6 separate regions of the Mus musculus genome follow, and regions 1, 3, 4, 5 and 6 are each reported to be linked to region 2. Evidence: microRNA targets listed by miRTarBase, many of them from high-throughput screens and not tested one by one. Region 2 holds a microRNA gene; each other region holds the end of a gene's coding sequence.

The links. The annotated mature microRNA mmu-miR-697 reads AACAUCCUGGUCCUGUGGAGA and lies in region 2 at 2,229-2,249, shown strand. An mRNA with a match to its seed (bases 2 to 7 or 8) in the 3' UTR can be bound and repressed. Matches are read on the target gene's strand: a 7mer-m8 pairs with bases 2 to 8, a 7mer-A1 pairs with bases 2 to 7 and ends in A, and an 8mer does both.
Region 1: the mRNA of Nat8l is a reported target of mmu-miR-697. The part of its 3' UTR that is shown has no 7-base or 8-base seed match.
Region 3: miRTarBase lists Csnk1g1 as a target of mmu-miR-697. The part of its 3' UTR that is shown has no 7-base or 8-base seed match.
Region 4: miRTarBase lists Pdpk1 as a target of mmu-miR-697. Seed matches in the 3' UTR shown: 7mer-m8 at 2,867-2,873, 7mer-m8 at 4,049-4,055, 7mer-A1 at 4,148-4,154 and 7mer-A1 at 4,726-4,732.
Region 5: miRTarBase lists Spag7 as a target of mmu-miR-697. Seed matches in the 3' UTR shown: 7mer-A1 at 1,879-1,885.
Region 6: miRTarBase lists Atp5g3 as a target of mmu-miR-697. Seed matches in the 3' UTR shown: 7mer-A1 at 629-635.

The regions. Positions count from the first base shown.
Region 1 is chr5:33,999,515-34,004,462 of GRCm38, reverse strand. It overlaps Nat8l (N-acetyltransferase 8-like), which reads right to left. Exons shown (of 3, transcript NM_001001985.3): 3 at 1-3,683. The coding sequence ends at 3,316. Among named protein-coding and RNA genes, the nearest start is that of Nat8l, 6.0 kb to the right of the region's middle.
Region 2 is chr4:124,729,540-124,734,487 of GRCm38, forward strand. Mir697 (microRNA 697) reads left to right here and starts at 2,155; the gene lies at 2,155-2,263. It overlaps Sf3a3 (splicing factor 3a, subunit 3), which reads left to right. Exons shown (of 17, transcript NM_029157.3): 15 at 1-10; 16 at 1,832-1,887; 17 at 2,649-2,884. The coding sequence ends at 2,726.
Region 3 is chr9:66,038,406-66,043,353 of GRCm38, forward strand. It overlaps Csnk1g1 (casein kinase 1, gamma 1), which reads left to right. Exons shown (of 14, transcript NM_173185.2): 14 at 1,172-4,948. The coding sequence ends at 1,226. Among named protein-coding and RNA genes, the nearest start is that of Ppib, 19 kb to the right of the region's middle.
Region 4 is chr17:24,075,841-24,080,788 of GRCm38, reverse strand. Pdpk1 (3-phosphoinositide dependent protein kinase 1) reads left to right here. Exons shown (of 14, transcript NM_011062.4): 12 at 354-411; 13 at 1,145-1,297; 14 at 1,647-4,948. The coding sequence ends at 1,763. Among named protein-coding and RNA genes, the nearest start is that of Kctd5, 4.8 kb to the right of the region's middle.
Region 5 is chr11:70,660,879-70,665,826 of GRCm38, reverse strand. Spag7 (sperm associated antigen 7) reads left to right here. Exons shown (of 7, transcript NM_172561.3): 2 at 463-530; 3 at 751-839; 4 at 960-1,044; 5 at 1,160-1,249; 6 at 1,351-1,507; 7 at 1,607-2,058. The coding sequence ends at 1,716. Eno3 (enolase 3, beta muscle) reads right to left here. Exons shown (of 12, transcript NM_001136062.2): 7 at 4,945-4,948; 8 at 4,633-4,830; 9 at 4,237-4,438; 10 at 3,757-3,865; 11 at 3,555-3,613; 12 at 3,314-3,464. The coding sequence ends at 3,395. Among named protein-coding and RNA genes, the nearest start is that of Spag7, 6.1 kb to the left of the region's middle.
Region 6 is chr2:73,904,491-73,909,179 of GRCm38, reverse strand. It overlaps Atp5g3 (ATP synthase, H+ transporting, mitochondrial F0 complex, subunit C3 (subunit 9)), which reads left to right. Exons shown (of 5, transcript NM_175015.3): 5 at 473-733. The coding sequence ends at 587. Among named protein-coding and RNA genes, the nearest start is that of Atp5g3, 4.5 kb to the left of the region's middle.

The DNA of each region.
Region 1 (4,948 bases), not on the chromosome of region 2:
CCTCTGCCCTATCCCTTATCTCAGGAAGGGTACCTGTGCAAGATGGGAACTGTCCAAGACCCTGAAACTAAGTTGTTAACCACAGGGCCTCCCAGCCAAAGCCAGCCATCTACCACCTCAGCCAGGTTAGCACATGCCTTTAGCTGCTGCCCAGCCCCAGGGCAGTGCTAGGGGGAAGGATAAGCATAGGGGTGAGACCAGGACATGGAAGAGGCTGTCATGGCCACCAGGGCATGGCCTCGCTACACTCAGGGGCCAGATCTTAGAACATGCAGGCCAGCCTCTTGGCCTACAGCAGAGACGAGGCATCTGCAGAGACACATGCCTGGGCAGTGGGAGCTGCCTGGGAACAGTCAAGCAATGGTATACCACATCTGAGCTGTAGGGTCATCCAACACTGACATTCTGGGACATTCCATCATCTCTTTTTCCCTCCCTACTCTAAAGTTTCCAAGCAAACAATAGGACTCCTGGAAGCCACAGATCCTGAGCAGAGAGTCAGACCCCAGGCTGGCCTTCCCTGGGCCTTCCCAGGCCCAGAGTACAGCTGCTGGCCACCTCAGGTGCTTGGAGGCTCAAGGGAGGGGGAGATGGCCAGCCAACTCAGAGGAGGGGCACCAAGCACATGGCCACCAAGTGGAGCAGAGAGGAGGGCCTCCACAGAGGTAGAAGAAACATCAGAATCTCAACAAACAGAAAATTCACATCAGTGCACATGTGCAGAGCACTCAGAGCTCTGGCTGGGATGATGGAGTGGACACAGTCAGGCGCAGCCATCAGCACACTCAGCTTCCGCCAGCCCAGGGACACAGGTATGTCTCCAGGGCCTCAGGCCCTGCCAAGCTACATACTGCCTGGTGAGGCTCCATCCTGATGCAGCTGGAGCCTACCCCACCATCCATTCCTGGAATCTCTACCAAGTGTTGGCAGCAACAGAAGGCAACGAATACTTGAGAGCCCAGCAAACTTCCCTTTATCCATGGGTTGTTCAGCAGGGAGAGATCCCCTTGGAAAGGTGCCAAGAGGCTGGAAGGGCCACGGCTTCTCCCAGGCTCCTAGGCTGGAGGAATCTACTATGAGCTCATCCCAGGTCAGTATCAAGGAGACATGGGTGGCTACAGGATCCCCAAGCTCAGCCCTGGCCCAAGTGATCCCAGTGCCCTGCCACACCTTCCAACCCCAGACTGCAGGCCCCAAAGGCACAGGATCAGAGAAGTCTTGGCAGCTGGTGGTGTCCAGTAGACCTGGCTCCCACTTAGGCCTACCCAGGCCTCAGACCCACCAGCAGTCTCTGACCCCACAGGCCTCAGACACCAGCAGTCCCTATACCCCCACAACAACTAAGACTAGCCCCGAGCCGAGACCAATCCAAACAGAAAAGAGAAAAAAGGCACAACTGTTTGTTTTCCATTTTGCTAAAACACTTTACATCTGTCTGTATAATCCAGATTAACAAAATCTGAGAGCTGCAAGAAAATAGGGTGCCAATTTCTGTACAGTCTACAAAACTCCCATCCCCAAGCGGGGACCGGGCACCACCAGGGAGGAATGTACAGGGGAGAGCGGGGTCTGTACAGTGTTCTGCAAATGCCTCAATTGCTAACAGGACAAAAGGCCCCTCAGGAAGCTGGGCTTGTTCCACCAACTCATTAACTCTAAAGAGCCTTTCTAATAATGTAGCCTTGGTGCCAGGGGCCCAGCTCTATGGTCTACCTAGCCTGCCACTCCTCACCCCAAGCCCCACACAGAGGAATGTGGACGGGCCTTTATGCACCCCCTGCACTAAAGCTAAGTCCAAGTTTCAGCTGGCCTCATGACCACTGCCAGCTACTGCCTTTCCCTGTCCTAGGCCATACCCACCCCCATCTAGGCTGGATCTGAAGTAGAACCTCAAAAAGGAGAGGCCAGGAACAGTTGACCTAGCAGAGTAGTCTGTAGTGGGTGATACCTGGACCCACCCCAACCACCAGCTTCTTCCCCCGAGGCAGTGCCCAGCCCTTCCTATGAGGCTTTAGGACCCTCCAGTCCCCTCAATCCTGCATACAAGGAATCAAGGGGCAACCTGAGCCTCACAGACTGTGTTGTGAGGGCACTTTAGGGGTGTTTACACTAAATTAGAGTCTCCTTCCATACTTCAAACTGAAATCTTCCACCTACCCGGCCACCCACCCCCATCAAATGGGGCCAGAGACCATGCGTATGCTAGCACCACACAGATGTGTGTCTGGAGGCTCAAACTACCATTTTGTCCCAGTAATTAAAGTCATGCAGAGTGCTATTCTGTCTACGTAACTTATTAGAGAATGGGTTGTTTCAGGCTGGGAGAAGCTGTGGCAGGCATTGCCAACAACAGCCTGGGCTAGTTACATTCACAGGGCAGACCCCACAAACAGCATGAGGCCACAGGACCTCAGGCAGCTGGGAGGTGGCCACCTGGTCTAACAGGTGTTGGGGGAGGTGTCCCCCCCACCCCCATGAAATCCCCACCATGCTGTGCAGTGGATTGCTACAGGAACCAAACCCGGGTGACCAGCCAAGTCAGCCAGAGCAAGGAGGCACGGGGACCAAAAAGGGAAAGAGGTAAGATGATTTCGAAGCAAAGCAGGAGTGGATAGAGCCAGGTTAGGCCAGGCCAGGCCTCACCAGAGAGTAGACAGGGTCAGGCAGGTAGGCCCTCCAGAGGCCAGCTCAGGACAGGACAAGGGAGCTCACCAGCTCAGGCCTGAGGTCCAGGCTGGGCAGGATAGTGGGGCAGGGGGCTGTGGCATGCGGCATGCTGCAGCCAGGCCATGTCCTTAGCATGCACAGGGCAAAGCAGGGCCTGGGACCAGCTCAGCCTCCCATGGGGCAGTGGCTGGCCAGCCCAGCAGACCACTCTTCCAGAGGCCAATAGTTGAGCCTTAGCCTGGCTGGGGGCCAGGGTTCTGCTCCTTGGGGGGGGGGGGGTTGTTGTAGAGGTTCTGTGCTTGATGGGCAAGGCTAGTCCTTCCCTGATGGAGGCAGGCTGGGCAGCTTTGTGGATAGTTCAGATGGTCCACAATGCTGCTCTTCAAGGCATGATGAGCCACTCTGATGGGCTGGGGAGGCAAGGGCCATGGCTGCAGACAATCCACCCCACCAGAGTGTTGCAGATGAGCACTCTGGACTGGGACCCTGTGGCCCCAGAACCAGCCAGGTGATGAACCAGCATGATGCTGAAAAAGGAAAACCCAAACAAATGCCAAGGTGAGCATTGGAAAGCAGGGCCGCACTAGGCAGTGAGCAAGAGGGCAGAGGTGGACGGGGGCAGACAGGGTGGTGGGCAGGTGGTGGTGGTCACTCCTCGCGCAGCTGCAGGCGGTAGCGGTGGTAGCGGACCTGGAAGAAGAGGCGCTCGGCCAGCGAGAGGGTCATGCCAGGCAGCACGTAGTGATCACTCGCGCCCATGTGTCTGAAGCCCAGTGACTCATAGAGCTTGTGGGCGGCCACCTTAACGGCTGTGGTGCCCAGTACCACTGCAGAGTAGTTGTGCAGCATGGCAAACTCCAACACCCTCCTGCCCAGAGCCTTGGCGATGCCTTTTCCGCGGAAACGCGAGTCCACGGACATGCGGAGCAGCTCCACTGTGTTGTCCTCCTCATGGGCCCGTGCGGCCACGATGCCCACAACGTTGCCGTCCAGCACAGCCACCCAGAAACAGGAACCTAGGAAGGACATGACAATCAGGGATATTCTGCATGGAAGACTGAAGAGACTTTCGAGCTGCCCATTCCAGCTGAGTGCCAAGTCAGGGTATCACAATGATGCTCAATCCTCACCTTTCAGCTCTTTTGGACACCAGGGGAGGCCACGAGACACTCCATAAGCCTCAGTCCGGGCAAACCTGCCCAACTTTGCATGACAGGATCCCACCTCACAAGCAGACACAATCAGCTCCAGCCCAAGTCTCTATTGTCCTGGCCAGAATAGTAGTTGGAGGTGCCTAGGAGCTGCACAGCCCTTGACAAAGCAAATTCCTACCCCCAGACCACAGGAAAACCCACAGACAACCACAGCTAGGGCCACAGGGCAGAGCATGTCTTGCTGACATACTCTGAATCCCAGCCCTTGGTCTGCCATACTCCTCCCCCAGTATCTTTGCAGGGATATAACTGAATGAGAACCCAGAAGAATGTTTTCTGACCCAGCGAGGGACCACAGACAGCCACACACACCCCAAACCCAGTAACCCTGACACCAGGCTAGCCAGCCCTTACAAGAAGGGAGGGGGCGAGAACAAGGAGTTTGGATGGGAGGAATTCTGACGGGCATGGGACACAGGGAATCCAGTCACCTTCCTGAACTAGAGGTACATGGTCAAGGGGACACCCTGAGACCTTTCTGAAAGATGAAGGCTAAAGGATGGTAGGGGGGAGAGAGCGTCTGGCCAAGCCAAGAGAGTGACTTGCTGTGGGAGATCTGGCCTCCCTTGGCCTTACCCACTCCACCTCCAGCCTCCTTCAGAGGGCTTATGCCAAAAGCTCTGCACCTGCATCTGCCCTAACCCAGCAGGAGGAAGCACTCCTCCCTACACTTCTTACCTCTGGGGAAGCCGGTGCCTTCAGGGCAGACTCTGCTCTACTGCTGAGGGTGCTGCCTGCCCACCCTTCACCAGCGTAGCAGAGAAAGTTGCCAACTCATGGAGGGCCCTGGTCCCAGAGCCTCTAGGACTTTCCCAACCCCATATGCCCATATGCTCTCTGACCAGCTGCCCCACACCCAGCCACACAACCAGACCAGAGGTCAAGACAGCCTCTAGCACCTAGTTGTCACTCTTCCCAGGTCTTGTTTCCCCACTTGCATAAGAACTCCCATAAATCTACACAGCCCAGTTGGCTGATGTCCAGCTCTGGCTCTTTTAGTTCATGAAGGTGACTGGATTCCCTGTGTCCCGTGCCCGTCAGAATTCCTCCCATCCAAACTCCTTGTT
Region 2 (4,948 bases):
GCTGTCTCCTGTAAGTAAGCTTGCCGACTGTTTCCCTAGCCAGACCAAGTAGCCGCTCCTACAGCTGTCCTAGAACCCTGCTGTCTCCAGGCCCAAGAGCAGGGGTTGTGGCTATAGAAAGCTAAGGCACACATATAATTACTGCATTTTTTATGGGAGCGAGCAAGTCAACAGTACTGATTATATCTCCTTGAAAAGAACCCTATGCTGAGGTTAGAACAGGGTCTTTAGCCTGAATCTATGAGCTTTCCTCTCTGGAGCATTCTGAGAGAGTTATTTGTTACTCTTCTGAAGAGACTTTAATGTGTTCAGAACCACTGATCCAGAAGGAAACAGAAGTGGCTCCATGCTCAGATTCCTCAGAGAGTGACAGCAGCGACGTACTCATTGGAGGAAGGGCCGGGGGTGGGGTGGGGTACGGCAGGGGAATGTGTGCCAGGTGCTTCACCTTGCCTGGCAGCCTCTGCTACTGACACCTTACTACAGGCTCCTTCTCATCCTTACTGCAGGCTCCTTCTCATCCATCTCTGTTAAGTTTCACTTCATGTGAGCCAGACAGTTGGTTTTATTTATTGATGGGTTTGGTTTGGTTTGGTTTTGTTCTAGACAGAGTCTCACAATGTAGCTTGCCTGTCCTGGAACTCACTCAGTAGACAAGGCTGGCCTCAAACTCAGAAATCCGACTGCCTCTGCCTCCCAAGTGCTGGGATTAAAGGTGTGTGCCACCACGCCCGGCTCATCTTACTTTCTTAAAACTTGCAGAACCACCTGCCCAGGGGTGTGGCAGCACCCACAGTGAGCTGAGCCATCCCGTGTCAGTCAGTAATCAAAGTGCAGCACAGCCGGGCAAGGTGGTGCACGCATTTAATCCCAGCACTCAGGAGGCAGAGGCAGGCGGATTTCTGAGTTCGAGGCCAACCTGGTCTACAGAGTGAGTTCTAGGACAGCCAGGGCTATACTGAGAAACCCTGTCTCGAAGAAGAAGGAAAAATAAAAAAAGAAAGTGCAATACTGAAAATCTGATGGGGTATTTTCTCACTTGACGTTCCAAACTAACCAGGACAGAGGCTGAGCATGGAAACAACTCCTTTAATCCCAGATCTCAGGTGACAGAGACAAGATCTCTGAGTTCCAGGATAGCCTGAGCTCGAGGACAACCAGGACTACATAGAGAAACCCTGTCTCAAAAAACAAAACAAGCTGGGCGGTTAATCCCAGCACTTGGGAGGCAGAGGCAGGCGGATTTCTGAGTTCAAGGCCAGCCTGGTCTACAGAGTAAGTTCCAGGACAGCCAGAGCTACACAGAGAAACCCTGTCTCGAAAAACAAAAACAAAAAAAAACAAGACAAAACCAAACCCTAAGCAGGACGCATGTGTGATGCCTTCTAAGCTATGATCCTGTTCATTTTATCCAAGTTTCTCCAGACTGCTCCACACTGCTTCTTTTGAGAGTGTTTCCTTTTTACTGTTGTAATCGTTTGTTTTGTTTTTGAGGCAGGGATATTCATTTAGCACAAACTGGCCTCAATCTCACTATGTAGCCAAGGCTAGCTTTAAGCTTCCTGATCCTTCTTCCTCTGTCTCCCAAATGCTGAGGTTACAGGTGTGTACATCACCCTGATTTCATGAGATTTTCTTTTACAGCAAGGTGAAATCATGATAAATTTCTCAATAAAAGTTTTATCTACAGGTAGTTCTAGATCAGAATTCCATTTGGGGGCTGGCAGTCATTAAAGGAACCTTCAGGGAGCTGGGCGGTGAGGGTGAGAATGACGTAACACTGCACAAGTGGACTGTGGGCCCTAATGACTGCTTATCTCCCATCCTGCAGTGTGGGCCAAGCTGAAACTGCAGAAGGCTTCAGAACGGTGGCAGCCTGACACCGAGGTGGGTGCTAATGTGGAGAGTGTTAGATGTGGCGTCAAGTGACAGCTTCCTCACCTTGCAGAGGAAATTCTCTGTACTAGCAAGTGTAATGAGACAGTGTCTACAAGGTGACTGTGTGAACCTGCTGCCATGCATCTAAGTCTTTGTCATCAGGCAGTTCTCCCACTGAGGACACCAGTCTCCTGTGCTACCCTAACGATTTCTAAAGAAGTCTGTCACTCTTAGGTCTCTGAGGAAAGCATCAGGTCAGAGGTAGTTCTCTCTTCAGAGTGGGGATGTGTCCTGGATGTTGGTCTTGACAGGTCTCAGAGGTGACTACCACACATTGAAGGGGTGGCGGTAACATCCTGGTCCTGTGGAGACTGTCATAGTCTCCTTTATTCTATGTCAGTATTTCAGTTCTGATTTTTCGCATCAAGAACCCTTTCAGCTACAGTGTAGACCTGAAACACAGACTGGCCACCCTGTTGACTCCTGCAGTGGCCTGTGGTCAGAAACCCAGGCTTGGGGACCATTTCACACTGCTGTGTTTGGTCAGCCCTTCCCTGCCAGGCTGCCTTGCCTCAAACGCAGGGCGTTACTTGAAAGACTATGTAGGGATAAGGGTGAGCCACATCTGGTGCCACTCTGGATATCTAGAAATAGCATTGGTTCCCTCTTGGAACTCCGTTGAGAAAGCTATGTGAAGTTAATACTGGTTTCCGGGAACCAGAGTTTGCTGTGGAATTCAGTGTGGAGCTAACAGAGCCATACCTTTTCAGGAAGAATATGAAGACTCCAGTGGAAATGTTGTGAACAAGAAGACATACGAGGATCTGAAAAGACAAGGGCTGCTCTAGTGCTCGGTTCCCTGAGAAGCCTGAGAAAAGCTTCCCCAACCAAATGTTCTTAAAGACTTTTTGCTATGTAGTATCTACCTTGTAGAAACCTTGCAGATTGCAGAGTTGAGATGTGTTTTATCTTTGTTTTATATTAAAAAGATCTGTGGGAAAATAAAGCCAGCCCTTGTTTTGGATGTGTTGTTTCTGAAACCCAAGTTTATGAATTTTTTGTTTTTCTTTTTTGAGACAGGGTTTCTCTGTATAGCCCTGGCTGTCCTGGAACTCACTTTGTAGATCAGGTTGGACTCAAACTCAGAAATCCACCTGCCTCTGCCTCCCAAGTGCTGGGATTAAAGGTGTGTGCCACCACCACCCACCCAGCCTAGGTTTATGAAGTAACTTCGTCCTTTTTGTTTTGTTTTTTTTTAATATTTAATGTATGTGAGTACACTGTTGCTGTCTTCATACACACCAGAAGAGGGCATCTGATCCCATTACTGATGGTTGTGAGCCACCTTGTGGTTGCTGGGATTTGAACTAGACCTATGGAAGATCAGTCAATGGTCTTATCCACTGAGCCATCTCTCCAGGCCCCATCCTTTTGTTCTTAATGCCTTCTAGCCTTGTTCTCACCAGCTTCCACAGTGGCTTAGATTTAGGAGGTAGTTATTACTGCCTAAATATGATTCTGTATGTGTCTCACTGACAGCCTAGGCTACCAACTCCCATCTATCCTACCTCAGCCTCCTGTGTGCTGAGATTACAGATCTGTGCTGCCACATTGGGCATGTGTCAAGTAATTGAGACCTAACTTTTCTCCCCGTCACTGCCACTTCCCAAATGAGCATCATGCCAGCATGAACTCTGCCCCCAGTTGAGTGCCAGCCATTGGTGTGCATACAAGAGCAAACAGGAGGTTGAGCTAGGCCTGAAGGCTTAAAATGGCTTCAAGGTTTGCCTGTTTTATTTGCATAAAGAAATTAGCTATATAGTTGGCCTTAGTCCCAGCACCTGGGGACAGAGGCAGGTATCTGAGTTCAAAGCCAGTCAGGGTGACAAAGTGAGACACTGCCTTAAAAAAATAAAAAAAATGAGCTGGAGCCAGGTATAGTAGCAGAGACCCGCATTTGAAGCTTCCAGACAGCTCAGGCAAGAGGATGGCTGCAAGAAGGAGCTGCTCTGGGTTCAGCACCTGCTATTCCAGACTGCAGAAAGGACTAAGAAGCTCTGCCCAACCTGTGAGGACAGTCACTGAAGGTTGAGTAAAATTACCCAGCGCCCTCTTAGCATGGTGACCCTAAGCTAGTTTGCTTTTCAGGCATTACTTTGAAGAACCCCAACTCTGGCTGGCCATCCTCCATCTTCCTGTTGTCCTTGTCACGCCTCTGGCAGCAAAGGTCTCACCGCTCCTCCTCTGAATTACATTACTCTGGCCAGCCCATTCTTTGTATGGCACCTTATGCTTTGACTCTGCCAGTCTTTAAGAGCTAGATGAGCAACCTCCCCTGGGCTTGTGCAGCAAGGAGCCCATAATCACATCTAATTGAATCAATTAGAAACTGATTGATGGAAACCAGGCCGAGGTGAAGGGAGATGAAGCAAAGCCTTGGGATGGAAAAGCAGGAAGCCCCCAGGCTACAATTGTAGCCCTACTGGGCTGTCAAGGAATGCTCCATTGCTTTGTAGCTGTCATATCCCGCTGAGTAGGTGCCTGAGACTCCAGGGTTAATGAGATGCCCTGTTGTGGTATGGAGGAGAGGTAGGATCAGAGCCTGAGGAGTCCTATGAATTATGCCAGAAATGCCTGGCAAGGAACTGGAGCTCACTTGTTGCAGCAAAGTCTGCTTTTTTTTTTTTTAAGATTTATTTATTATTATATCTAAGTACACTGTAGCTGTCTTCAGATGCACCAGAAGAGGCTGTCAGATCTCATATGGATGGTTGTGAGCCACCTTGTGGTTGCTGGGATTTGAACTCAGGACCTTTGGAAGAGCAGTCGGTGCTCTTAACCACTGAGCCATCTCTCCAGCCCAGTCTGCTGCTTTTCATTGCTTATATTTCATACATTTGATTTTTTTTAGACTAAAATGAACTATTGTATTACCTGGCTGTATACTCCTGGGTAGACATCCAGAGGACTCTTAAGAGGACATCACAGAAATAATTTGCACATACATATTTATTGCAAAGATAGGGAATCAAAATTGCAAAGACAGGATATCAATCTGGATGTCTGGTAA
Region 3 (4,948 bases), not on the chromosome of region 2:
ACGTGACACACAGACATATACAGACAGGCAAACACACTTATCTATATAAAATAACAAAAGTAATGTTAAACAACTCTGAAGGGATTAGGGAAGAGACTTAAAGATAATTTTCTCAGAACGAGTTTTCTTTCAAAGATCAAGCATCAGATGAGCTCTACTCACATCTTTCTTCCCTTCATTATTGGCACCGCTGACTCATCCTCTGCCTTCTGCCCACCCTTCTCATTTCCCATTTGTCATTTCTGGACAGAGCATACCTTTGTATCAACCTTGCCATGGCCCTCAATGTCTCTTCTCCAGTGCCTGTACACAGCTACACTCCCGGGTACAAAGGCTGGGTGAGGAGGGCATCCTCAGAGTTAGGGCACGCCAGCACTGCCACTCCTCTACAGGCTGGTCCTCCATGGCATGGCACCCACAGGGCCTCAGCCTCTACCTTAAACCAGTTGCTAACCCTGTCTGGAACAGTGGCAGTCTTGGGGAATTCCCTGTGACTAGAGTTTCCAGAGGGTTATTAGCTCCTGGGCTTCGGGCATTGGTCCCCTTGGAATGCTTGGCACATGTGCTGCTGTCAGGAGATGAAAGTTCACCCCCTTATGAGCTAGAGCTTCTGCTTACTCCAGGCCTCATGTTGGGGACAAGAACAAGGTAGAAGGGATCTTAGTCTTTTGTTGGCATCATGTGATTGCCAGGATTCTAGATTTCATACTTTGTGTGAGATATATTTGTCTCAGTTTAGCCTCCTTGCCTACTGACCAGTGAGCTACATTGAACTGCTGCTGGTATCAAGGGGCATCCAGTGCAACCTGCTTTTTTGTTACCCTGAGCACCCTCCATCTTGGTTCTAGACAAAGATGGAGTATCTAGGTTAGATGTTAGTCTAAGAACAAAGCCACCTTTATCCCTTCTTCCAGGAATGCCTGTGGCAGCCATGCCTAGAGAACAGCATTTTGATGATCTGGTAGAGTGGCTGCAACTCAAATCAGCTGTTGCCTTTAGCTTTCCTGACAGATGCCTGCTACTTCCAGTATATGTGTACTATAGATGGCGGGCGGCCATGTGGGTGGGCACCAGGAGGAAAAAAACCCATCTCCCGCAGTAAGCAGAGGCAGGCAGGGATCTGCTCAGAGCTGAGGCTTCTAGGCTGACTTAACATGTTCTTGTGCTCCAGGTGCTGCTGTTTCTTTAAGAGGAAAAGGAAGAAGACAGCCCAGCGACACAAGTGACCAGTGCCTCCCAGGAGTCCTCAAGTCCTGGGGACTCTGGCTCCAATTGCACCTGCAGCTCCTGCCATTTCTCATTGGAAGGGACTCCTCTGTGGGGGAGGGTAGAGATCCAAACCAAAAAGAAGAAAACAGATGCCCCCAGAAGGAGCCAGTGCAGGCAGCCAGGGCCGAGTGGGCCAGTGGCAATCCCCTCTGTCTGAGCTCTGAGCGGGTCCAGAGCTGCTGCTTCTCCACTGCTTGCCCTTGGGCTATCTGGTTGACTCTCTTCCCATTGTTTACAGTGAAGGTGTCATTCACAAAAACTCAAGGACTACTATTCTCTTCCCCCCTTTTTACTCCTGGCTCTTGCACCATCCTCAACCCTCTCCAGCATAAAGAAACTACTAAGCTAAAGGCTCTATCAAGAAGCTGGTGGTGTGGCCAAGAAGATAGGGGAAGATGACAGCCCTGGGCTGGAGAACTTCTCCACTTCCCAGGTGTGTCTGGTAGTGTGGCTTCCTCTCCCTCTGTGCCTGGGTAACCCCTCAGCCCAGCTGGCCACAGGGTTCAGGTCCCTTCCTTTGTCCTTCCCTTCCTCCCTCCCTCCTTCCCTCCTGTGAAGTTACACTGTAGGACACAAGCTGTGAGCAGTCTGCAGTCTACTGTCCCTGTGTGTTGGCGTTCTTAGCTTTTTTGACAAGCAGATCCCTTGCTCCGGGCTGTAGCAAAATATGCCTGTGGTTCTGAGCAAAGGAAAGGAAACTGACTTTATTGCACTTTTAGTTTTTTGGGTTTTTGTTTTTATTTTATAAACAACATGGCAGATGCATATTGTGTCTGGTTATATTGGGGGGTTTGTTTTTTTTTTTTTTTTCTTTTTCAAGGGGGATGGGCCAGCCAAGCCATTCAGAGAAAATGTGGGTCCAGAGGACATTTTTGATGGAAAGAGTCTGATTTGCAGCACTTGGAAGAGAAGAAGCCAAACTCTGCGTCATCCTGAGTAATATTCAGGTTGGCAAGGAAACATACTTGAATTTTCATTCATCTTCTCTGCTGCAGAAAAAAGTCCAGAGCCCTGACCTAATCAATCAGCCCAGACCTAATCAATCAGCCCAGAGCTTGAGCCCAGCTCCTGAGCCCGTGGGATGAGCACCGAGCCAGACTGTGACCAACCAGAAGGCACCTCGTCTCAGAGAGGAGATACTGAACAACAACAACAAAGCAAATTTCTGTTTCCTCCACTGCCAGGGACTTCCTACTAGATAGCCATGTGACTTTCTGTTGACTCGGGGGACAAAATTAGTGACTAAACACCCACCACCGTATTGCCAGTAGTGGACAAAAGAAGGCACCACATTTGCCTTCCAACTGCCAGAGGAGTCTCAGGATGCAGCATCCTAGGGCCAGGAAAAGAAAATATTTTCTGTCTGCCTGAAGTGAGCTAGAACATGTGGGTCAGTCTGCCTTAGAAACCATGCCTGTGATAATTTTGGAGCATATCCATAGCAACAGGCTTAGAACGTGGTACATGGGGCTGCTGCAAGCAGAGAAGGTAAGATTGGTTGGTGCTAGGAAATTCCAGGGAAAAGGAAACTGTAATGAAAGGTCTAAAATTTTATCTAAACAATCGAACAGAGACTGTCCAGACAGTATGACCACATATCTTAGCATGTTTTCCCCGGTACACACTCTATCTGCTACGGTGAAGCATCACTGGTTGCACAGTTAACAGTGTGTGGGGTTACTCCTCCCATGTTCTATTTTATTTGAGATTAGTGGCATTTCCAGATAGTAACTTCTTATGCTAGTTGTGGCAAAAAGGCTTATTCACGTGGGTAAAGAGGTCTTGTGTTTGGGTATAAAGAACTAACCACCGAGAGCAGTGGCTAGTGACTTAGTACAGCACAGAACTCTTTGCTTTTATATGTAGAGGACTGGACTGGAAGATGTCAGGACACTTGTGGTCATGGATCAAATTTAGTATCAAATGAAGCAGAGTTTGTGCACCTTACCTGTTCTATTGGACTGTGGCTAGGGAATCTCCTCACTGACTTCAAACCTGGTTAGCATTTGTAAATATTGCCACCTGGCCATTTCTTTACAAGAAATGTTTTTGTCTGTGAATCAGAGTGGCAGGGAGAAGTCAGGTCAGACCCCTTCCCCATAAGGAGTTGGAGTGTTAGGATTTGCTTCCTTTTTACTATATAGTAGTTAAAGCTCATCACTAACATTTATACAGTCCCTCATTTGGCATGTGGGCAACTCTGACTTCCCCTACAGAAACTTAAAAGTCTTTATCCCAGGAAATGGTGGCAACCTGGCACTCTCTGCCCTACTAAGTGCCTCCCCCACCCTGCTTCCAAGGTAAAGTAAAGGCAGTGACCAGCTTGGCTGCAGGGTGGGATGCCCTGCAGCTGGGCTTAAGACTTCTTTTTTGTCTTAAAATATTTTTATAGGCTAGCTCTTGAGGGGTTAAACCTGAGTGGTTTGTGTATGTGGGGGAGTGTCCTTCCTAATGCACTGTTGGCACCCTCCAGCACCCACAAATCCCTTACTAGGTATTTGGGTTTTGTAGCAAAGGTCCCTTTAACGTGCAGGGTGGTGGTGATCCTTTCAAGGCCAGTGACACGCCAAGGTGATCCCAAACCTGAGGAATTCTCATCTTCCTTAAAGTTAAAATAGAACTAAATTCCCCCAAAACACTCTTCTCATCATTTCAGCCCCCACCCCCAGCCCAGCACTTGAGGCTTCATGCACATCCCTGCTTCTTTTACCTGCCTGACTGCAAGCTCAGCAGATCCTCGGGCACAGGCAACCCCCTCCATCTCCTTGCATCCAGGTCCACTTGCTCCATCTCACCCGACACTTGAGACAGCAGGCATTTGATACTGTACTATCTGGAGTTTCCTCGAGCTTTGCTGTCCTTGAGACATTGCAGTTTGAGCAGACTGAGGTCCAGCCAGGCCAGGGTTACACCAGGGTGTAAAGTGTTCAGTCATATAAGTGGATTTTCAGAATTCTTGCTCCAGACTGCCCCCAAGGCTGCACTGAATGTCCCAGCAGCTGGTGAACACTCATGACTGCCTTAACATTCTTCTACTTCGGGTCTGTCCAGGAGCAAACAGGGTCTGTGAAGATGTCTGAGTCAGGCGACTAGGTAAGTCTCCAGTTAAAAGTCCCATTTCGATTGGAACAAACTGCAGGAAACAGCAAGTCCCCAAGATTTCTGAAAGTGTTCACTTCCTTTTCATTTTTAGTGAATGACAAGAACTCAGAAGCACCCCGTGTCCATTAGCCAGATGGTGTACATCTTCTGTAAAATAACTTCCAGTTTAGTTCAGAAGGAAAGTGTGCTGTAGTGCTTATTTAGTGTTGATGTTCAATGTTAGCAACCACTTGAATTGCCAGAAGTATGCTATGTTAAAGTGGTTGCTAAGGATCATAGCCTTAATTTAAAAAAAAAAATGTAAAAGATAATTCATTCCCCTCCATGTTGAGCTAGTATGGCTGCATTTCTCAAGAATAAGTCCACAGGCGCCTAGGAAGCATTTCCTCAAAGGAACTTGGTCTTAATTTCTCTTGACCCATCCCTCCCAAGCCCATATGGCTCCTGTGTCCCAGCCACCTCTTCCATGTTCATAAGTGAGACCAGTTTTTCATGTCTATTTAGTTGTTCTGATGATGCTTTGTCTAGTGTCGGTCGGTCATACCATGACCTGAATTTGAAGACCAGGAGTTTGCAT
Region 4 (4,948 bases), not on the chromosome of region 2:
CTGCAGCTTTTTTGACATGGTGATGGTGATGATGATGATATGACATGATATAATATGATGGTGAGATGGTGGTGGTGATGTGTATTAGCTTGCTTCTGTGGCACTATCTTCCAGCCTTCTTATACTATGCAGATACCTCCAGCTAGAAGATGATCTCAGGAACAGATAAAAATCTGTACCCATTGCATCACTACATCTGGGGTATCTCCTGGACCTGAAGAGAGGCTGTGTCTTTGGGGTGGGGTGGAGGACAGGATTTGATGGATATAAAGTCTACAGAGGCCCTGTGGGGAATGTCCAAAGTGTAGAGTTTGGAGAACTGCTGGGTCATTCTTCTTTCTTTATTTTTTTAGGCACCAGTTTGTAGAAAATAATCTAATATTAAAAATGGGTCCAGTGGATAAGCGAAAGGTGAGTTGGTTCCCTGATCCTCTTCATCCTATGACTTCCTACTGTTTCTATCCCAGGTCAGTTCTTCACCCTGGGGTCCTGCCATGAATTGTTGGATATGGCATTCTTCATCTTGGCATGATCTTTGGAGATCATCTCTAGATTTTATAAAGCCGGGAACACTCAGACTCTCAGGGAAGCAGTCAAGTCTTGTGGTAAATCAGCCATATGCGCTGGCCACAGGGCATGGTTGCACAAGGCCCAGCTCACTGTGCTAAGGTTTCTGTCACATTGAGGGGAACAGATCATTTCTCAGAGCTCAGCAAGTAGTCTTTCATTAGAAGCTTTGAAAATACAGGGGTTGTTGTTTATCATTTTCTGGGCAACAAGTAGTGCAGAATATATCAGACTCTGCCAACAGGAGCCTCCTGAACACACTTCCTGGCTGTGTACACTCTGGAAGCGAGAATCTCCATGAAGGTGGGCTGAGGCCTGGCCTGCCAAGGGCAGGACTCTGAGCCTTAGAAAAGCTGAGGGGTCAGGGCACCACAAGCTAGCTATTGAAAGGCACATTGTGAGCTAAACAGCAGAGACCTGTGCTTATGTAATCTTATGTAATATATAGGTTCCAGGTTGAGGAGAAAGTGTCTCAGGTGAATGGGGAGGTGGCAGTCAGTCACTATGTCCTGAGCTACTTACCAGTTAATCCCATCTGTGTCTTGATCAAACAGTTTGTTTATTTTATTTGGACCAGGGTTTATTTGCAAGACGACGACAGTTATTACTCACAGAAGGGCCACATTTATATTATGTTGATCCTGTCAACAAGGTCTTGAAAGGTGAAATCCCATGGTCACAAGAACTCCGACCAGAAGCCAAGAATTTTAAAACTTTCTTTGTCCACACGGTGAGTCTATCCCTATAAGGCATCTTACTGTAGCCTCATCATAGGCTTCTGCATCTCTGTTGTAAGTGGCCCTTGCTTTGGCCAAGGAAGCATCTAGGGTCAGGTCAGCTTCCTGAGTCCTAGAGACAGACCTATATGAACAACTTAGGCCTGAATTGGGCCAGAGATAGATTTCTGCTTGATGTTGGTTTCTGGTAGGTCACCTGCCCACATATTTTAGTTCTGCACTTGTAGAATGAAGAAGCCCACTGTGCCCACAGGCTTCAAAAAGGTGCTGGCAGCATTGACAGCAAGATAGGCTGGGTGGGGACTGGACTCCCTGAGGGACATCAGATGCTCTGTTTTGCAGCCTAACAGGACGTACTACCTGATGGATCCAAGCGGGAATGCTCACAAGTGGTGCAGAAAGATCCAGGAGGTTTGGAGGCAGCAGTACCAGAGCAATCCAGATGCTGCTGTGCAGTGACGTGGCCTGCGGCCGGGCTGCCTATTGCTGCCAGGATACCTGCCCCAGCGCGGCTCGGCCGCCACCCAGGACGCTTCCAGACCACCTGCCAGCCATCTCGTGGAGAACATAGATGGCAGAAATCTTGCAGCTTTTTTATTTAAAAGAAAAGAAAAAAAAGAACCCAACCACACAAAGAACAAAACAAATAGCCAACAAACAGGAATTCAGGGTCGCTTTGCTTGCTCTCTGTGCTCTGTGGTGGCTTCCATGCACTGCTGTGGCCATGGAGACCCAGCTCCTTGCACGGTAGCCCAGCTTTTGCCCAGACCAGTGGCCAGATTTGGCATCACCCGCCCCTCTTAGCATCCACAGGAACTGCATGCCTGCCTCTACCTTTCCCCACCTGATACACACAGCTCCTGCTGTGACTGAGGGACGGGGTGTATCTGGCCTACCCTAGTTGTTGCAGAATCCTTCCCCAGGAGCCCCTTCACTCCTGCTGGGGTAGTCACCAGCTTACTGTGGGTACAGGGCTCTTAGCTTGTATGTGTTCTCCCTTCCTTGAATCTCTTGTATGGCCCTAGAACTTTGGTCAGGTGTGTTTATGGTGACATGATTTCTGTGGTTCCTGCCTTACAGCAGGCAGGTTGTATGGTGAGAAGAATGAAGGCTGTTGTAGTTACAGGTGCTCTTACTGGGCTCTGCTCTAGTGTTCCACTTCCTAGAAGTTTATCCAGTGAACTAGACACTAAGCCAAGCACATGTCCAGGAGGGTTGCTGTCGCACTAGCACCTAGGTAACACCAACTAGATTATTATCAGGTACAGAATCCTGTCCTGAACCTGGGCAAGGCTGGAGGTACTGTAGAGAATCCAGCTTGGGCCACTGCTTCCATGTAGAGAAGTGGGACAGCAGGCCCTCCTTGGAGTTTCTGCACAGGTTTAGGTGAGTAGACCACATGCCCTATGAGGCAAGCACCGAGCAAACCCTAGGGTGTGCCTCACCTGCGATGCTGTGGGCAAACACTTCTCAGCTGGTCCATTTTTACAACGATTGAAAATCTAGAAGCCTTCTCATGTTGCCTGGTCACCTACTCCATAAAGTGTGGGCCTTGCCTGGAAAGGATGTTATCACTGTCCTGCTCACAGGAACAGCCCTCTTAATCTGAGCCTGCCTATGCTGGCATTCTTTGCCAGTAATGGGACACTTCTTTTGGCATTTCTTGCAGAGTGCTTTTGAGGGACTTGGCTGTACCTCTCTTTGACTAGGATATCCCTGAAAGTTGGCCCTTGGTGTCTAGTGGAGAAAAGTAGGCATCTCCCATCTGCTCACAGTAGCACCTCAGACTCCTATGTCCCAATGGCAGCAACAATTTTGCCATTTCTATTGACTTTCACATAGGCGCCCCCAAACACACACAACAACAGAGGTTACCCTGTTCTGTCTACTCTACAGTGACTACCTGTGGGCCAGGCCATCTAAACTGAGAGGGGGAAAGATTCTACTTCAAATCTTTAACAACAAGAGTGATTCTGTTCAGCTGGGGTAGAGTGAGGATGAAAAGTCAGCCACCACTCTGTGGCAGGGTTGCTGGGTGGGAACAGGGATTTTATTTAGACTCAGCTAGATCGTGTGAGAAGAGCTTCAGGTGAGCAAGGAGCAGGACCTCACTTGCCAGTAGAACCCACAGAACAGGTATGGCCTAGGATGCTGTCAGCCTGAGAGTGAAAGTGGGCACTCATTTCTCCTGGTTTTTGAAGAGCCTGTTAAGTACACTTGGCTATTTCCTCCTTGGAGTCCTGTTCTTGCTCACGCCTTGTGGCTATTTTGCCCTCAGAGTGCCCTGTATCCTACATTTGTACATGTAAGTAAGAGTGGCTTCCTGTCTCTCAGGTGCATGCAGACACAGGGAAAGCATCTTTGAGGGCATTTAACTACAGGGGAGCAGTGGACTGAGGCTTGGCTTGAATTAGACCACAAAGCTGGCTGTATATGGGAGAGTCCTTTGTTGCTTCCTTCCCTGGAGAGCAACACTACCTCCTGGGCTTTACCAAGCACCACCCTAACCTCTAAAATCAGAGTTCAGCTGAGCTATTAGTAGTGGGTGGTCACCATGACTGCCCAAGCTACAACAGCTGATCTCTTCCCAGGTCACCTTTGTCCTTACTGCCCCCTTTTCCTTGATTTTTTTTTCCTTTAATGAACCATGTACATTCATTTCTTAACCTGGCTTAAATCACCTTCATTTTTCCAGTCATCCTTAGAGCCGTCACCCTGTGTGAAGGTGCCTTACTTTGTAGGACAGGATGTGGATGTCAGTTTGTACAACTCGTGTGTGTGTGTGTGTGTGTGTGTGTGTGTGTGTGTGTGTGTGTGTGTGTGTGTGTGAAACAGTAAATTTGGGATGTATGTAAGGAGAGAGAGAAATACCCTGTTAGTACCTCTAGAAATCATGTGTCCTAGGAATGGCAAGGATGGAAAGAAAGTTGAAGACTGTTCTCTGGCTTCTCCTACCTAGGTACAGCAGACTGTAGTACCTCACAGCCCACTTGAGCCCTGGCTTCTCTCAGCATCACAGATGAAACTTAGCTTGAATGGGTCAATTCCACCTGTTTTTCTGTGCTCCAGCTGGGCAGTGGGCTCCCCATGTAGAGCTGAGCCTCTCCACTTCAGGGTGTGGCATCATGGCTCAGATGTCATTTTGAGCTAAAACCCAGTTAGATGCAGTAAAAAACCACTTTGAGAGATGGCTTGTGTTAGGCTGAAACTGATAGAAACGTTAACTGCTGCAGCTCTCTTTGGGCCACCCTAGTGTTTGTGATTCATGCTTGAAGTAACCTTGCCGACAGTTGTGTGGCACAGACTCCCAGTACCAGCAAGGGGGCCGTAGGTAATTGTGTGCTTTCTTAAAGAAGTGTATGTTTTCTGAAAGCAAAAGAATAAAGGAAGGCCCGTCATTCAGAGACCACTGTGAACATTTGGATGTAGATGCTGTTCTCCCTAACTCTTTGTTCCAGTGCTGGGAATTGAATAGTGAGGTTCAGGATTGCTAAGCGAGTGCTCTACCACTGATGTGCATCCTTAGTCCTTGTTTGCTTTCTAAACCAAACTGGGAACACATACAACATTCATCATTTTACATCCAGCTTTTTCACTTGACTTGTTTTCTCTTAAGCATTTCTCCATGCCGTGGCCGTGAGTAG
Region 5 (4,948 bases), not on the chromosome of region 2:
AACAGGCAGATACCTGATTTTGAGTCTAGCCTGGTCTACATAATGAGTTCCAGGCCACTTAGGACTACATACTGAGATGCTGTCTCCAAAATAATAATTATATATAGAGAGATATAAAGCTAAATCATTACCCTGAAGCCAGTGTATATTGTGGGCATTAAGTGAATGCAAATTGGCTGTCTGGTAGAGTTGGTAAGTTGGCTGTGTGCAATTCTAGTCTTTGTGACTTGCACTAAACTGAGCTCTGCAAGGGAAAAACTGTGTCTGCCACTTTGGTACTCTGGGTCTGAGCACAGTGTCAGGTTGTGTTACAGAGGAAACATCAGGGGATCCTTGGTGAATGAACAGTAACCCTACTGTCCAAGCCCAGCACTTTCCAGTGGTTATCAGGCTGCCTTTAACCTGACCAGCTCGCTACCCGTGCGCCAGCCCTGACCTCCTGTGGTCCTTTCTCACCCCTAGAGCAGGCTGCCCGTCTGAAGAAACTACAAGAGCAAGACAAACAGCAGAAAGTGGAGTTTCGGAAAAGGGTGAGAACAACTGGCGAGAGCAAAGGCAGCTTCTGGAAGGATTTGCAGTAAGAGTTGGAAGGCTGAGGACTTGGTTGTACTGACAGTGCCTCCAGATGGTGGAACTAAAAGCCCCTCGCCCGGGAGCTGGGAGAGTGGTGGGAGGTGTGGAGAGGCCGTCCATCGGCCCAGGAGATCGTGGAGCTGTCATCTCATGTCCTTCCCCTTTGTTTCTCCTAAGATGGAGAAAGAGGTGTCTGATTTCATCCAGGACAGTGGACAGGTCAAGAAAAAGTTTCAGCCTATGAACAAGATAGAGCGGAGCATACTGTGAGTGTCTCTGGGTTGGGGTGGCAAGAAATGGGCAATAGAGGGCGTGAATGAGCCAGTGGGGACCAGTGGAGATCAGACTCCTCATGGCTCACTTACTCTCCTGCCTTCTCTTTACAGACATGATGTGGTAGAGGTGGCTGGCCTCACATCCTTCTCCTTTGGAGAAGATGATGACTGTCGCTATGTCATGATCTTCAAAAAGGTAAAAAGCCTGCCGCCGCCACCCCCTGCCCCCGCCCCAGCCTATCCCTGCACCTGAGAGGAGTGGCATCCCTCATATATTTGGATCTTGACTCTACCTTTCTCTTCATCTCCAGGAGTTTGCACCCTCAGATGAAGAGCTAGACTCCTACCGTCATGGAGAGGAGTGGGACCCCCAGAAGGCTGAGGAGAAGCGGAAGCTAAAGGTGAGCTGTTCCTGGCAGGCCCTGGAGCCCGTAACCATCACCTGGAAGAGGCCATCTGGGTCAGGGCCTTGAGCACCGGTACCCTACCTCTGTGCCCTTAGGAGCTGGCTCAGAAGCAGGAGGAAGAGGCAGCGCAGCAGGGACCTGCGGTTGTGAGTCCTGCCAGCGACTACAAGGACAAGTATAGCCATCTTATTGGCAAAGGAGCAGCCAAAGATGCAGCCCACATGCTACAGGCCAACAAGACCTATGGCTGTGGTGAGCCATGGCAGGAGCTGGGGGAGGGATGGGGGAGAACGTAGTTTGGGGGAGGGGAGCAGAGACTGAGGTCTTGCCCACTCTCCCCTCTGCTGCTAGTTCCTGTGGCCAACAAGCGGGACACACGGTCCATAGAGGAGGCCATGAATGAGATCAGAGCCAAGAAACGCCTGCGGCAGAGTGGTGAAGAGTTGCCAACTACCTCCTAGGCATCCCGCCCACCTTGCTTTGACCTCCAGCAAGGCAGGGGCATGGAGGGACAAGGCTGCTGCTATCAGGACCCATTCTGGAGCCCCATTTCTAACCTATGAGGCCCTGCCAGCTGTCACTCAGGCTGGAGGAGAAGCAAGTGTTTATCACTGCTGGAATTTGGATGTATGGGGTGTGTGTGTGTGTGTGTGTGTGTGTGTGTGTGTGTGTGTGTGTGTGTGTAAAAATGTGTATTTAATCTGTATTATTCTCTATTACCCTTGGAACTTTCTTCCCCGTGGGCCTGGGTTACTTTACATTGAATAAACACTGTTTGACCCAGTGTTCTGACTTGTACCTGGAAATGTGGATACTAGTCCATTGATGGCGCACACCTTTAATCCTAACACTTGGGAGGCAAAGCCAGGTAGATCTCTGTGAGTTCGAGGCCAGCCTGATCTACAGAGAAAGTTCTAGGACAGCCAGGGCTACACAGAGAAACCTTTTCTAGAGAGGGGGAGAGGGAGAGGGAGAGGGAGAGGGAGAGGGAGAGAGAGAGAGAGAGAGAGAGAAGAAATTGTGGGTATTACCTCCATAAATGTGGATTCAACAGTATAACGTTGCTGTTTGTTTAAGCTAAAGATGGCCAATTATTAGCACTGCTACTGTGACACTTTCACATATTTTATTCTTGTGATACTAGATTGAACTCAGGGCCTCATGCCTACTGGGCACTCACCGGGAAGCCAGCACGATGTTTCTTTTTTTAGATTATGTGTATGAATGTTTTACCTGCATGCAAGGATCTGCACCGTGTGCGTGCCTGGTGCCCGTGGTGCTCTGGAGAGGGCATTGGAGCCCCTAGAACTGTAGTTACCAATGGTTGTGAGCTGCCATTGGTGCTGGGAACTGAAGCCTGGTGCCGGTAAGAGCAACAAATGCCCCTAACCACTGAAGCCCCTAAGCTTGGAATCTTGAGACGGGCCCTTACTCCATCTCCCAAGGCCTAAGATTACGGATATAAGCCACCACACCCAGTTAAGGCTGAAGCCAGGCATTTTGTGTCCTAGCTTTTCGAGTTGCTAACTCTGCTGTGTTGAGTAAGATACTCAACTCGTGCCTTGGCTTCCTGGTGTGTAAAAGGGGGATAGATTGGTAAATGGCTGACAGGACTGTTTGAAAGCTTCTGTGGGTTAATACTGTCAAGTATTTTGAACACTTCAGATCCTCACAAGCTCCACTGAAGTGGTAATGATCTCATTATCCTTTAATCCTTGAGAAGCACTCAGTCTGGCTGCAGCCTGATCCAGATCCCTCCAATGCTGGGAGCACCAGGACCCTTCCTCGGCCCCTCTCCATCCACCGCTGTCTACTTGGGAGCCACTTCCACCTCCTCTCCAGCTCCTTTTCACATACAGTTTTGCTTTCTCTAGCTTCATTCCAAACTTTGAAAGTCTCTATTCTACATCCACTGAGCTTTCAAATCCCTTACTTCCTTGTCACAGCAGGTCACATGATATTCTCTGCCTTCTTCCCTGTCTCCCACCCCCACCCCACCCCAGCCCTGTCCTTCCTGGCGAGCTTGTCATTCATTCCCTCCTAAGGAACACAGCATGGTCTGGTTTGGCAGTGTTTATTTCTGGGAGAAGGGCTTGAAGGCCTGTGTCTTTCCTGTGAAAGCCTGGAGTCTCCAGCTCCTCATTTGGCCTTTGGATTACGGAACTTTCTTCCAGCAAAGACAGCTTTGTCCCCAAGAGCCTCCTCAATCCTACAATACAAAAAGAAAATCAGAGCTCCTACTTTCTAACCCAGGAGCGCCTTCCTCTCCCCACGGTCTAGGCCTCTGCACAAATTGTACCTCATAAGCTGGTTGTATTTTGCCAGACGCTCTGAACGGCAGGGAGCACCAGTCTTGATCTGAGGTGGGAAAAGGGTTTGGAGGGGTTGGTTTGGGCCCCAAAAGAGCAGGCTGTAGTGGTATCCAACTTAGATGGCCCAAGTGATACCAAGGTGACCAAGGAAACTTGGTTAGATACTCAGTAGAGAGAAACCCCGAGTACCTGTCCTGTGCAGAGTCCCACCACAAGGTCAGCGATGAAAGTGTCTTCGGTCTCCCCAGAGCGGTGGCTCACCATCACTCCCCAGCCATTAGATTGTGCAAGTTTACAGCTGTGTGGGAAAGGCATTTGATGAGACCTTATGTGACCACCTCAATAAGAAAGTCAGGGGCAGGCAAGATAGAACTTTCCCTTTGTTTGGGCAGTGACTAAGTTCTTTGGGAAGGAGGAGAGATTTCTGATCTTGGATTAGAGTGGTCAGAAGATGGCAAGCAGAAGAACACAAAACAGAAGGGAGGTTAAGGGACATGGCAGAGCCACAATGGCAAAAGTCTTAGAGCCAAGTTGGGGGTCAGTCATAGCCTAGGGGTTCTGAGGCTTGAGTAGGTCAGGGGCCCTGGGAAAGGCACCCATGGAAGAGCAGCAGCAGTGGCTGGAGCCGGGGGGGGGGGGGGGGGGGGGCCTGAGTCAGGAGGCACTCACGCCTGGATGGACTCCGTCACGGAGCCGATCTGGTTGACCTTCAGGAGCAGGCAATTGCAGGCCTTCTTCTCCACAGCCTGAGCAATCCTCTTGGGGTTGGTTACCGTGAGGTCATCTCCCACAATCTGGATGTCCACCCCAGAGAGGAATGAGGTCCATGTGGCCCAGTCATCCTGGTCAAAGGGGTCCTCAATGGAGACCACTGGTAGGGAGTTGGGAGCACAGATGGGGTTAGAGACAGGGGCCTGATAGAGGGGTGACAGGTAGCAGAGGTTAAATGGAGGCTACGGATGAGCTAAAGATGGGAAGGACAGGAATTGTGACAAAGCCAAATGCTGAGAGCCATGCTAGGTAACCGCAGAAGACAAGGGCGGGGGGAGCACCCGGCCGTCTCACCGGGATAGTTCTGGATGAAGTTCTTGTACAGCTCCCCAAGCTTCTCCCCACTGATGTGCCTGGCAGGGTCATCGGGTGACTTGAAGTCCAGATCATACTTGCCGTTGCGGTAGAATTCAGACGCAGCTACATCCATGCCGATCACCACCTTGTCCGGGTAACCGGCTGCCTGGATGGCTGTCTTTAGCAGCTCCAGGGCTGGGAGAGGAGCAAGAGATGACCTGAGACTCCAGTATGGCTGTATCTGCAGCCTCTCTTTCCCCCCACCTCAGGGGCACTCAGGCACTCTGCCCCAGGATGTTCAGCACTGACCCTC
Region 6 (4,689 bases), not on the chromosome of region 2:
TCATGTCTGTCAGAGTAAGGTGAAGACTCAGTGGGAAAGTAGACGTGGAAAGAGGGAAATGATGAAATAATGGTAGCCCTTTTGAATGAAGTGTCTGCTGTGTCTTGCATTATATTCTGAGCTGTGTGTGCACTGGTCACTTAAATAAGTGAGGATAGAGCTAGGGGCTAGGGAACACGCCTATAACTCCAACCAGTCAGGAGAGTCAAGGAGATCACAAATGTCAGGACCCCTCAAGGTGGTGTAAACTGAGGATTTATATTTGCATACGAAGATAGCTCCCTGACTTTATGCCACATGATTAGGAGTGGGTAAAATACTCTGAGAGACAAAAGCAAAGTGGTATAGGAGATAGCACCCCCATGAGACTTGCAAAGATCCCCATACTAGATATCTGACTCTACCATTTACCCAATGTGCTGACATCAACGTTGCTTCACAGTAACAGTCATCTGTGTTGTGTCTCTTTTAGAAACCCTTCACTGAAGCAGCAGCTGTTCTCATATGCTATCCTGGGATTTGCCTTGTCTGAAGCTATGGGTCTCTTTTGTTTGATGGTTGCGTTCTTGATCTTGTTTGCCATGTAACAGAAATTACTGCCTGAAATGTTGGCATTCATAGTAATTACGGATGTAATTCTGTGTATCTTGCTGTGACTCCGAAGACTGTAGTACTGGTGTCATGGAAATATATGTTATTTCCACAGTCATTTCATTAAAGATGAAAACTTTAATTCTTGCTGTGATTTGTACTTATATAAGTGTGGATCATCATAAAGATGATCTGTTGAGGTAGGTGGTTGTCCAAGTCAGAGGAAGGTACAGCAGTTACCCTGGTTTTGAAAAAGTGATGAATATGAAACATTGAAAAACACTTAGTGAAGTAGACCAAGCAAAAGACCCATAGTGTGATTTTGTTTGTATAAAATAGGTAACTTTGTAGAGACTAGGCCAATTAGAAGTTATTGGGAACTCTAGGAGCATGGAACTGTGGGTGACTGACTGTTAGTTGTGGAGTTTCATTTTGGGTGATTGGTGCTTGAACAAGGTTATAAATGCACAAAACCATCTCATTACATGGTTACCATAAACCAGGCATGGTGGCGCACGCCTTTAATCCCAGCACTTGGGAAGCAGAGGCAGGCGGATTTCTGAGTTCGAGGCCAGCCTGGTCTACAAAGTCTACACAGTGAGTTCCAGGACAGCCAGGGCTACATAGAGAAACCCTGTCTCGAAAACCAAAAATAAGAAAAAAAAGAAAGAAAACCAGTAGGTGAGTTTCCTACTGTTATGAGTAAGCATACAGAGATGTTTGGAAGGGCTGGGAGTCATTTTCCAGGGAAGAGATCACTTGAGAACACTGCTTGTCTCCACCTTATGCTAAACCTTGAGTAGCAAGAGGACCACCTAGTGAGTGGCTCAACTGCAGACTTAAAAACAGAAGAGCACTGGCACATGAAACATTGCCAGGAAACAGTGTGAGCTACAGGTGAAAGGTAGGCTGGCACACAAATGCACAAATTAGCAGATAAATGAGTTTTATCATGTGATCACAGACAGCGGGGCATGGTGGCCCACGCCTTTAATCCCAGCACTTGGGAGGCAGAGGCAAGCGGATTTCTGAGCTCGAGGCCAGCCTGGTCTACAAAGTGAGTTCTAGGACAGCTAGGGCTAGAGAAACCCTGTCTCGAAAAAACAAAAACAAAACCCCTTGGAGCTATGTTTAGAATTATTTAAGGAGACCAAGGTGGTCTGGTGCTTGTGCGTGTCTTTAGTCTGGGAGGGAGAGGCCTCTGGATCTCTGAGTTGAAGGCCAGCTTAGTTTAGAGTTCCAGAATGGTCAGAAAAAGACCAGTGTGGAATGGCTTGAAGTCAGCAGTACCAGTGGCTACCACAGCAGATCTTCTAGTGATAAATAGGATGTTGTGTGGCAAGAAATTTCCTGGGGAAATGGCAGGTAAGGGACCCATGGCAAAACAAGTATGGATACTACCAAACCCTAAGTTGAACCAATGAGTTTTATTGGGATTATTTACACGTATATGAGTGAGGGGTTACTGTAGCAGAGATGTCTCAAAGGCAGCCGCATCACCAAAGCCCACTCTGGCACCCATGACAGCTCACAAATCTAGAAACCTAGAGCACACTGCAGCTTGTGAGTTTACCTTCATGCTTAAGAAACTTCCCTACAGGATGGAATGTTGCAGTCCCCAAGGAAACTGTTAGACACAGAGGCCTTAGTCTAGGATGGTGGCCACGATAATTATAAAGGAACTTCACAGGACTGGAGAGATGGCTTTGTGGATGAGAGCACTTACTACTGTTGCAGAGGACTGGAGCACTATTCCCAGCCTCAGTTGGGTGCTCACAACCATCTGTAGCTCTAGCTCCAGGAGATTTGAGTCCTCTTCTGACTTTTGCCCACACCAGGCACACATGTGGTGCACATATACACACAGGCAAAAGTACATACACATAAGATTAATTTTTTTTTTCACTTGGGTGACTTTATTTATTATATGTAAGTACACTGTAGCTGTCCTCACACACTCCAGAAGAGGGAATCAGATTTCATTACTGATGGTTGTGAGCCACCATGTGGTTGCTGGGATTTGAACTCAGGACCTTCAGAAGAGCAGTCAGTGCTCTTAACCTCTGAGCCATCTCTCCAGCCCAGCCATCTCTCCAGCCCTAATTTTTTTTAATTTTAAAAATAATTCTTAAAAAGAAAATTTCAGGGCTGGAGAGATGACTCAGCGGTTAAGAGCACTGACTGCTCTTCTGAAGGACCTGAGTTCAATTCCCAGCAACCACATGGTGGCTCCCAACCATCCATAATGGGGTCTGGTGCCCTCTTCTGGTGTGTCTGAAGAGAGCAATGGTGGTGTACTCATGCATAAAATAAATGAATAAATCTTAAAAAGGAAAAGAAAGGAAGAAAGAAAAAAAAAAAAAAAAGAAAGGAAGGAAGGAAGAAAGAAAGAGAGAAAAGAAAGGAATCTCTAAAAGTATTGGGACCTGCCTAGATCTCTAGGGCCAGTCAGAAAAGACAAGGGTGTCTATTCCCTACTACTCCTGAGAAGAAAGGCTTCACACATATACTGTCAATACTCAAAACAAGCCTGCAAAATTAGGAAAAATCAGTTCATTTCCCAAATTATTTGGCCATTGTTTGGTAGTACCCAGATCTGAGTTCATAACTCCCTGGGTTTCAGAACCCATGCTAGGGTTTTCAATATGATTATGTCCAGGATGCCAAAGAGAAATTAATTTGGGGAAATAAAGAATTTTGATTTTTGTATAATTTTAAATATGAGAATCTTAGAAGTAGACTTGGTCCTGTATAGAGAGGACCAATGCAGTGTGCCTAAAAGCTGTGAATACAAGGTCAGAGTGCAGGGTCTGAGAAGTGGCTCAGTTCAGAATGTGTGGCTCAGCCAACAACTGGCTCCACAGTCAGTTCTCTTGGGAGAACTGCTACAGTGACTGCTATAAATAAGGACACTAAGAAAACCCACTTGCGTTTTTGATGTCTTCATTCTCATGACTAATTGAGATTTGTCTACAGGGATAGGATTGTTAAGGTGGAGTAGAGAGTAGAATAAAGCACATTATTTGAGAAAATGATGTTGAATCTCATTTGCAATAATTGTAGGATTTAATTTCATGACATCTTCCTTGGTGTCTTAGTTAGGGTTTTATTGCTGTGAACAGAGACAATGACCAAGGCAATCCTCCCCCCACCCCACCCCCAACAGGGTTTCTCTGTGTAGCCCTGGCTGTCCTGGAACTCACTCTGTAGACCAGGCTGGCCTTGAACTCAAGAAATCCACCTGCCTCTGCCTCCCAAGTGCTGGGACTAAAGGTGTGTGCCACCACTGCCCAGCCCTTTTTTTTTTTTAAGGTTTATTTTGTATATGTGAGTACACTGTCACTATCTTCAGACACACCAGAAGAGGGCATTGGATCCCATTAAAGATGGTTGTGAACCACCATGTGGTTGCTAGAATTGAATTCAGGACCTCTGGAAGAGCAGTCAGTGCTCTTAACTGCTGAGCCATCTCTCCAGTCCCAAGGCAATCCTTATAAGGACAACATTTAATTGAGGCTGGCTTACAGGTTCAGATGTTCAGTCCAGTATCATCAAGGCAGGAACATGGCAACATCCAGGCAGGCATGGTGCAAGAGGAGCTGAGAGTTCTACAACTTCATCTGAAAGCTGCTAGCAGAATACTCACTCCCAGGCAGCTAGGACAAGGGTATTAAAACTCACACCACAAGGCCACACCTACTCCAACAAGGCCACACCTACTCCAACAAGGCCACACCTCTCAACAGTGCCACTCCCTGAGCCAAGCACATACAAACCATCACACTTGGTCTTTGTTCACCTGAGCTTCTCTTGACTTCTCCTAAACAGCATTCAGTGCCTGTCAAAATTCTCTCCAAAAGTTAGCTCATTATGACTTGAATTAGAAGCCAGTAGTGATTTGTCCAAAGAGAATGTGGAAAGATATTTAATGTGTAAAACATATTTTACATACAGGAAAACTGCAAATGAAGGGCTAAGCATTTATAAATGACACACACTTCATTTCAGCACCTGGGAGACAGGCAGGTGGATCTCTAGGGATTCCAGGTCAACTTTGACTAAAAAAGGGAAAAAAAAAACAGCTTTTAGTCAAACAAA